Linked DNA regions of Callithrix jacchus. The protein of the gene in region 2 binds, or shares a complex with, the protein of the main gene of each other region. Links are inferred from orthologs where the notes say so. Each region holds a gene or a part of one and is shown on either strand. Other genes may lie near its edges.

Region 1 (3,815 bases), on a different chromosome or scaffold from region 2:
GGAGGTGGAGTCCTTTAAGAGAAGGAGGAAGTAGGGCCTAGGAAGAACCTGTCCTGGGGACACATATGCCTTCCTGCCAGGATAGCCTGCGCAGGAGAGGGCAGGCCTGTTTCTTCCTTGGGACAGGCTGAGCCCTGAGCTGGAGCTCGGGTCCCTTTGGAGACCACTTCTCACCTGAGGCTTTGTAGAAACAGTGAGAGGGGTCTGCTCCTGTGCCAGCTTTCAGTGGGGGACAGAATTTTTCTTTCATGTTAGAGTGGGAGAGGAAGTCTGCCTGCTCAGATCTGTATATATGCTCAAATAGGCATATACAAGTACCAATTTCTTCTAATTTCCTGTTACACTGGAATATTTCTAAAACTACTAATAGTTGGGTAACAAGAAAAAAATTATCTGGTTGATGTAGATATTATTTATTATGTAATAGTTCTGAGACAAAATCCAATTCAAAACATATTACTGAGGATTCTATATTAGTGTATTTTAGAAATGCTACAACACAAACCTGATTTTCCAATACATTTTCTTACATAACATTTAAGGAATTTTTCACTATCATTATTTGGCTCTGGAAAATCTTCACAGGAGACATTTGTTACACTAGAAAACAAAACTGAAGTGTAGTTGTTACGCACGGTTAAAAGGGATGACGTACAAACTAGAATAATTACAAATCAGTGCTTCTTTTAAATACATATTTGAATGTAAACTTTTAAAATAATCAGTGTTTTAGATAAATATAAAACATACTTCAAGAACTGATTTTAATATCTCCTTTACTTTCTAATGCTCTTTAGAAAAAATTCCTTTCTGATTCATTCAGCAGCAAGAGCCCAAAATGGTGTTCCAAACCAGGATTCACCTTGTCCTCTTCCGAAATGATCTGAAGAGCTTTTGGATTGGTTAAAGATATTGCCAAAAGGAATCTTAGAATAAATCTCAGCTAAAAACACTGAATCCAGAGATCAGGTCTCTCGGCCATGCCAGAGTCACCATCAACCACTTGGGGTTAAATTACATTGCTATGAATGGAAGGTGACTCTGAGGGGCTTTAACCGTGCCGGGGCTGATGAAAGGGCTTCAAACATCAGCAAGAACAGTAAGATCATGGCTGAGAAGGGTGACAAGAAATCCTGAATGGTGTGAACCATTTTACACTTGATTCTATTTCCTAGAGCTCTTTGGGAAACAAGCAAGAATGTTCATGGATGGTGTGAGCCATGAAACAAATGGGTCACCTCGTTAAATGATTCAAAAACATTTCCTGTTGGTTTCATACTACCAACAGTTGAAATATTTTAATGGATAGGAGAAATTATGGGTTTCAAATTAAATTCTCTGTCACTGAAGATGTTTTAATAAACTGGTTATCAGACTGCGTATGACAATGTCAGTACCATATATTCAACCGCTTTCAGTCCTTCTAGTCTTTCTCTTGGCAAATTTGTGGTTATCTATTTTTTGCTACCTATGAATCACCTGTTTTGGACATTAACTGTCAATTACTGGCTGCAAAATACATGTGTGTGTATATACATGAGGTGTAACTATACCGGTGCATGTTGAATTGTAGACATGAGTTCTATTATTTCAGAGCTATCCTCTGACTCTGAGACCTGTTTATATTTACACACGTATACCTGTCCAGCCCTAACCCAACATTCATTCATATAAAAATATATGACTATTGTAGAATCTTTCACTTACCTATCACTAAAAATATGTTATTTCATTCTAACATCTTTTTATCTAGCCTTGCCAATCAACATCATAAGACTGGAATATAAAATATTTTTATTATTTATTTAAAATTATTATTATCTTTTGAGACAGGGTCTTGCTCTGTCGCTCAGGCTGGAGGGCAGTGGCTCACTGTAGCCTTGGCATCCTGGGCTCAAGTGATCCTCCTATCTTAGCCTCCCTAAGTAATTGGGACCACAGGCATGAGCCACCAAGCCTGGCTTATAAAACCTTTTTAAAATACATTTCCTAGCAGAAATTAATTTATTTTAAAAGTCTACTTTTAAAGCAGCAGTGAGAAACTTTGTTCTTATAATATGTAAATAATACTGTTATATCAAATTGTGGATTTAAACATTTTTAATTTAAGTTCCTTTCTTATCTCTTAAAAAAATAAAACAGATTTCTGTGTTATTTAATGGCTTCTCCATTCTTCCAATTCCAAGGAATACAAAGGTCTCCATCTTGCATAACAGAGTAAAAATGTGAAACACAGAGGTGCATCCCATGTAGGTAAGGCAGTGATTGTTCTAGAAGTCTCTTACAACAATCCACCATTTGCATACTAGAAATGCTGGGCTCTTTATATAACTTCTCCAGAGAAAATTTCTTTGTTGATGCCTGTATCAATTCATTTTCAATAACCTTTAACCTATTATATAGAGAATAAAAATATTGCCATAAGCTACAACCAAATAAATTAACACACAATGTAAACATAGTCTTACATACTGGGGCTATAACTGCACTCACAACACTGAAAATGCCACCCACAAAGGCCAAATTAAACATTTGGAAGGCATGCTGAAAGTCATCATGCATTAAATCTTTTGAGTTACTGCCATGTGAATCTCTAGAAGTATTTGTTCATCTTTTTAGCAGTAAAGGGCTAAAAATAACATAAAATTTAAAAAGCTCTTATATTGCCTTACCTAGAAGCTGTTAGTGACTGACGAAAGCAGAAAACAAATATAAAACCTCTAGCGTTAGGAGCCACCTAAAGTTTTACTCTTGGGCAGTAATGCCATCTAAAGATTTCCCAGATAAACGGCAGGCTCACAGCAAACCAGGATCCTGAGGACAGGAGCTCTTCACTCTGACTCTCCTATCTTACCAGCCCCCTGTCTGTTCCCTTCCTCTGCCTGAGGTTACAACCCTTTTATTCCATCAGGTGCTTCAGTTCAGGTCTACAAAGTATACGACTCTAGGCAGAACTCAGAGTCTCAAATACTTTCTCCCACAGGTGGCAAGTGCCTAGGGATATGGTGCTTTGGTAGGTGAATTCAATGTGCTACATCTAGACCAACACGTGAGTTACTCAGCAAGTCCATTTAACAAAGTGAGTCAAGCAAAACTGCCATGGTCATGTCCATGAACCGGTCTATTTTAAATACTTCCTTGGTTTAAGATGTCCAAATAGTTTATATTTAACCACCCTTAAACTCTGCATAGAAAAGTAGGTACTATAAAATTTCCATAAACTAGACAGTAAAAAACAGAAATGGTCATAGCAGTTAGTTATCCTGGCCTATAATACGAAATCCCTTCCTCTAACAATACCCTGATCACTTCTCAAGTGCTGCTTGCTTTTTTGTAAGATTCCTTCCCTACGCAGTGCTGCTTAGAGACTTAAGAAAGACAGACGAAAGTCAGGACTGATGGTTCTGAAAATGCCCCAGCTGGGCCTGCTTCTAATCTCTGCAGGATGAGACAGGAAGAGCTCTTAAACTTCTATCAATAGCAGGGGATGAGGAACTTTTTCTGTAAAGGGATTTTTCACTTGTCAGGAAAAGCGATACTAACAACTAGGCCTAGAAATGAAAAGCCTTGCAGTGTGACCTTGTTGCTGCATAGTTCTCCAACAGCACATCTTTAAAATCTGGGCAAGACTCTCATTCTCATTGCTTTCAGGAGAAGCCTACAGCCTCATCCCCGAGTTTCCCAGACTCATGGGTCACAAGCTTTCTATCAGGAGAATCCATCAGTTCTTCTAGGGTATAATCTTAGAGAAGCATCTAGTCCTGAGAAGGCAGCCCTTGGTAAGGTTCCCCAGGGCTGTCCTCTCAACAGAAAAA
Region 2 (3,815 bases):
CGTTGGTCAGGCTGGTCTGGAACTCACAACCTTAGGTGATCAGCCTGCCTCAGCCTCCCAAAGTGCTGGGATTACAGGCGTGAGCCACTGTGCCTAGCCTTATATGTGATTTCTAACCCCAGGAACCCAACGTAGAAGAATATGGAGGCTTTTTCCCAGGATCATTCCTACCCAGGGCACAGGGAGAAGGTCCCTCAGCCAGAGGGGATATACCCCTGCACTCAGCGTGGCGCTGCTAGACCTCCAACCAGAAGGTGGAACAGTGGCCCCCTCCTTTGTTCCAACACTAAAATTCTTCCAACAAGGAAGGCAAACCACAATGGTACAGAAGAATCAACCCCTCATAAGTTATTCTGAGAAAGAAGTGGAGCCGGGGGTCTCGTGTAAGTTGGGGCTCTGCTGGATGTGTCTCTACACAGGTGCCTCACCTCATCAGCTGCCTCCAGCTTTGAATCAAATTGACAGAAGATCTGTTCCAGCTCCTTCCTGATGACATTTGCAAGCACGTTAAGCCGCCCTCTGAAACGTATGGGCGAGTAGAGTGAGCAGAGCCCGAGGTCACGGCTTCCAGATGACGGGGAGGCTGTTATAATCCCTACCCTCTTCCCCTCCTCCAGGACACAGCACCTCCTCGGTTTGCAGCCCAAGAATGCTGTGAACTGGAGCTAATGTGGGCACTGAGCCTCTCTGTGCTAGACAATCAAGGCCACAGTGGACAACAGAAAGGCAGAAGATGTGGAAATGCCATGGGCCTGAGGCTTCCTTACCCTCCTCCCTCCCCACACTATCTCCGATTTTTGAAGTCTTGGCCTCCCCTCCAATGTCAGGAAGCAGCCTTTCCTCCAGCTTAACCCTCAAGGGAACCTGGGTTTAACTTTCATAAAAATGTAATGTAAGGCCAAATGCCAGTCTGAAACTACACGTGGCTCTGGCTGTGACAGTGACTTTGCAGTCTTCCAGAGGTAGGGAATGTGAGAATCCCCTGCAAAACAAGGCACCCGCAGGTATCAGATGAGCCCAGGCTCACAACTGGCACTTGAGAAGGAAACAGCTGTTCTCTCAGTTCTTTACCTGGTGCCTCCTACACACCCTGCAGGGATGGTGAGAAGGAGGTGGGGCACGCCCTCAGCCATACCTGTGTGGCATGCCCATGATCACGTAGTCCACACCGTTCTCACTTGACTTGTCAATGATGGTCTTGAGGGCAGGAATCAGCACCTCACAGCCTTCTAGACCAAAGCGCTTCTCAGAGGACCACTTCCGCTGTAGGAACTCCTCAAACCTGGACATGGAATAAAGTCACCTTGAAGAACAATGTCACTCTTCCTGACCAAAAAGAGGGGGCTCTGGGCCAGGCACAGTGGCTCACTGCACTTTGGGAGTAATGCTAGCACTTTGGGAGGCCAAGGTGGACAGATCACATGAGGTCAGGAATTTGAGACCAGCCTGGCCAACATAGAGAAACCTGATCTCTACTTAAATGGATAAAAATTAGCTGGCCGTAGTGGCATGTGCCTACAATCACTGCTACTGGGAGGCTGAGGCAAGAGAATCGCTTGAACTCAGGAGACGGAGGTTGCTCTGAAGGCTGACTCTACCTGCCTGGTGTCTCTTCAGACACGTGCAGCTGCAGCTTTGCCTATACCTCCCCAAAGCCCCTCTCACCTCGACCAACAGGCTGCACACAGGCCCAAACAACACACACAGGGCTGCTGCTTCCCTGGGGATGTGTGCCCCATGGCCCAGGGCCAGACCCATACCTGGTGGACCGCACAAGCCTGGCCAGCAGGGTCCGCTTCTCCTCATTTGTGAACTGCATGATCCCGGGGGTCTCAAACTTCTGCCGGATCCACTGGCACTGCTCCAGGTCATTGATGAACATGAACTCCACCCCAATGTGCTGGCAGTAGGCCATCTATTCCATACAGAAACACACAGGCAAGGGAGTTTCTAACCAGGCCTGGCTGAATCAAGAGTACCGACTGCCTGTTCAGCCAGAAGGTGGGAGGGGGAGCAGGAGGCTTGTTCTGAAAGGTACCCCAGTCAGGTATGACTGAGGGGGAGACGGAGTGGGTACCAGGCAGAGGTCCTCCTCTTCAAGTGCTTCCTTCAGGGACCTGGGTCACTTGCACACAAGAACCTCCTAGCCCTCCAAGGGCCAGGACAAGGAACAACCCCAGTTCTACTCTGGTACCTTTGTGGCAAGAAGCATAGACCGCAACAGTTGTGGAACTGTGTCCTTCCCCAGGGAGGACAGACTGTCATCAAGGTCAGACCTGTGCCAGCATCCATAACAGGAAATGCCCATAGGCTGTCATAGGCTCAATAGCTGTTTACGATTCGCAGTCTTTTTGTTTGTTTGTTTGTTTGAGGGAGGGTCTCTCTGTCACTGAGGCAGGAGTGCAGTAGCGCTATCTGGGCCCAATGCAGCCTCAACCTCTTGCACTCAAGTGATCGTCCCGCCTTATGTTTTGGAGAGATGAGGTCTCACCATGATGCCCAGGCTGGTCTTGAACTCCTCGGCTAAAATGATCCTTCTGCCTCAGGAAGCAAGACTGCCCATAAGACAAAAGTCAGGATCCTGAGCAGATCAAGATGTCCTGCACCATGTTCATACCCCACAGCTCAGGCAAGGAGGCAGCACCCAATCTGCAGAGCTCAGGAGGGAAGAAGCCAGGAAGAGAGGGCCAGGAGCAAGAGGAGGCACTGGGCTCTTAGAAATCCACCTCGGGAGAGGAGGAAAGACTGCCAAAAAAAAAAAAAAAAATCCATCTCAGGCTGCCCTCAGCCTGGTGCTCCTGTAGAGGCCCACAGCTCAACCTGCACAGCTGCCCTAGAGGACCAGAATGAAAGGATGAGAGCAAACTGCAAGTCAGCATGGAGTAAAAAGGCGACAGGCCCTGATGTGGGCCAACAGACACTCTGCAGACCCCAAAGCCGCGTCTAACTATCTTTATAGCAGGGACTGCTGCCAGCGTACTCAGAGTGTCAGGTCCTGCTCAGCAGCTCTCGTTTATGACCACATTTGGTTTTCACAACAGACAATGAGACCAGCTGGCATGAGCAGTTAAAAGATGTGCTGAATCTGAGACCAGCCCTGTGCTTTGCAGAGGGTGGGCTAACCCTGCATACATGCTCCATGATCATGAAACAAAGCAAACTTTGCCTGAATTCAAAATTAACCAACTGCAACACTCTAGTTATTATCCAAGTCAACAAAAGAACAATCTTGCCTAGAAACTAGAAGAGAAAGTGCTGCTAGAAAAGACCCTAGTAGGCCGGGCGCGGTGGCTCAAGCCTGTAATCCCAGCACTTTGGGAGGCCGAGGCGGGTGGATCACAAGGTCAAGAGATCAAGACCATCCTGGTCAACATGTGAAACCCCGTCTCTACTAAAAGTACAAAAAATTAGCTGGGCATGGTGGCGTGTGCGTGTAATCCCAGCTACTCGGGAGGCTGAGGCAGGAGAATTGCCTGAACCCAGGAGGTGGAGGTTGCAGTGAGCCAAGATTGCGCCATTGCACTCCAACCTGGGTAACAAGAGCGAAACTCCGTCTCAAAAAAAAAGAAAAGACCCTAGTAGTTAAGGTATTTTTATTAACCCCTGTTTGTCCCCCCACAAACCTCATGCTGAAATTTGGTCCCCAATGTTGGAAGTGGGCCCACATGGATGATGTTTTGGTTCTGGGGTGGATCCCTCATGAATACATTAATGCCCTCCTTCAGAGGTGAGTAAGTTTTTGCTCTATTAGTTCCTAGGAGAGCTGGCTGCTAAAAAGAGCCTGGCACCTCCCGGCTCACTCTCTTGCTTCCCCT

Evidence for each region.
Region 1: the proteins of OGDH (region 2) and TCAIM are in contact, whole or in part, in a cryo-EM structure (PDB 8I0K), measured with the Homo sapiens proteins. The link is inferred for Callithrix jacchus from reciprocal best matches to the Homo sapiens genes OGDH and TCAIM. Residues at the interface, in NP_001425937.1 of Homo sapiens: Gly301, Tyr304, Arg323, Tyr354, Arg356, Ile358, Arg364, Asn365, Lys387, Glu391, Tyr394, Cys395, Gly396, Thr398, Glu399, Lys401, Lys402, Lys561, Met602, Pro605, Glu667, Gly668, Ile669, Asn709, Met734, Ala735, Ser736, Pro737, Asn738, Gln772; in NP_001269842.1 of Homo sapiens: Glu214, Gln234, Arg235, Ser236, Trp237, Gly238, His241, Ser244, His247, Ser248, Arg251, Gln255, Asp272, Arg273, Thr286, Met287, Asp288, Val289, His290, His291, Glu331, Leu332, Gln333, Pro334, Val335, Arg375, Tyr376, Glu441, Ser443, His473.

Annotation. Positions count from the first base shown.
Region 1 is NC_133516.1:27,216,581-27,220,395, reverse strand, and holds the end of TCAIM (T-cell activation inhibitor, mitochondrial), read right to left. Parts: intron 2,393-3,815; coding exon 2,152-2,392; 3' UTR 398-2,151; downstream 1-397. UniProt on the Homo sapiens protein: May regulate T-cell apoptosis.
Region 2 is NC_133512.1:12,758,469-12,762,283, reverse strand, and holds part of OGDH (2-oxoglutarate dehydrogenase complex component E1), read right to left. Parts: intron 1,916-3,815; coding exon 1,761-1,915; intron 1,283-1,760; coding exon 1,136-1,282; intron 520-1,135; coding exon 429-519; intron 1-428. UniProt on the Homo sapiens protein: 2-oxoglutarate dehydrogenase (E1o) component of the 2-oxoglutarate dehydrogenase complex (OGDHC). Participates in the first step, rate limiting for the overall conversion of 2-oxoglutarate to succinyl-CoA and CO(2) catalyzed by the whole OGDHC.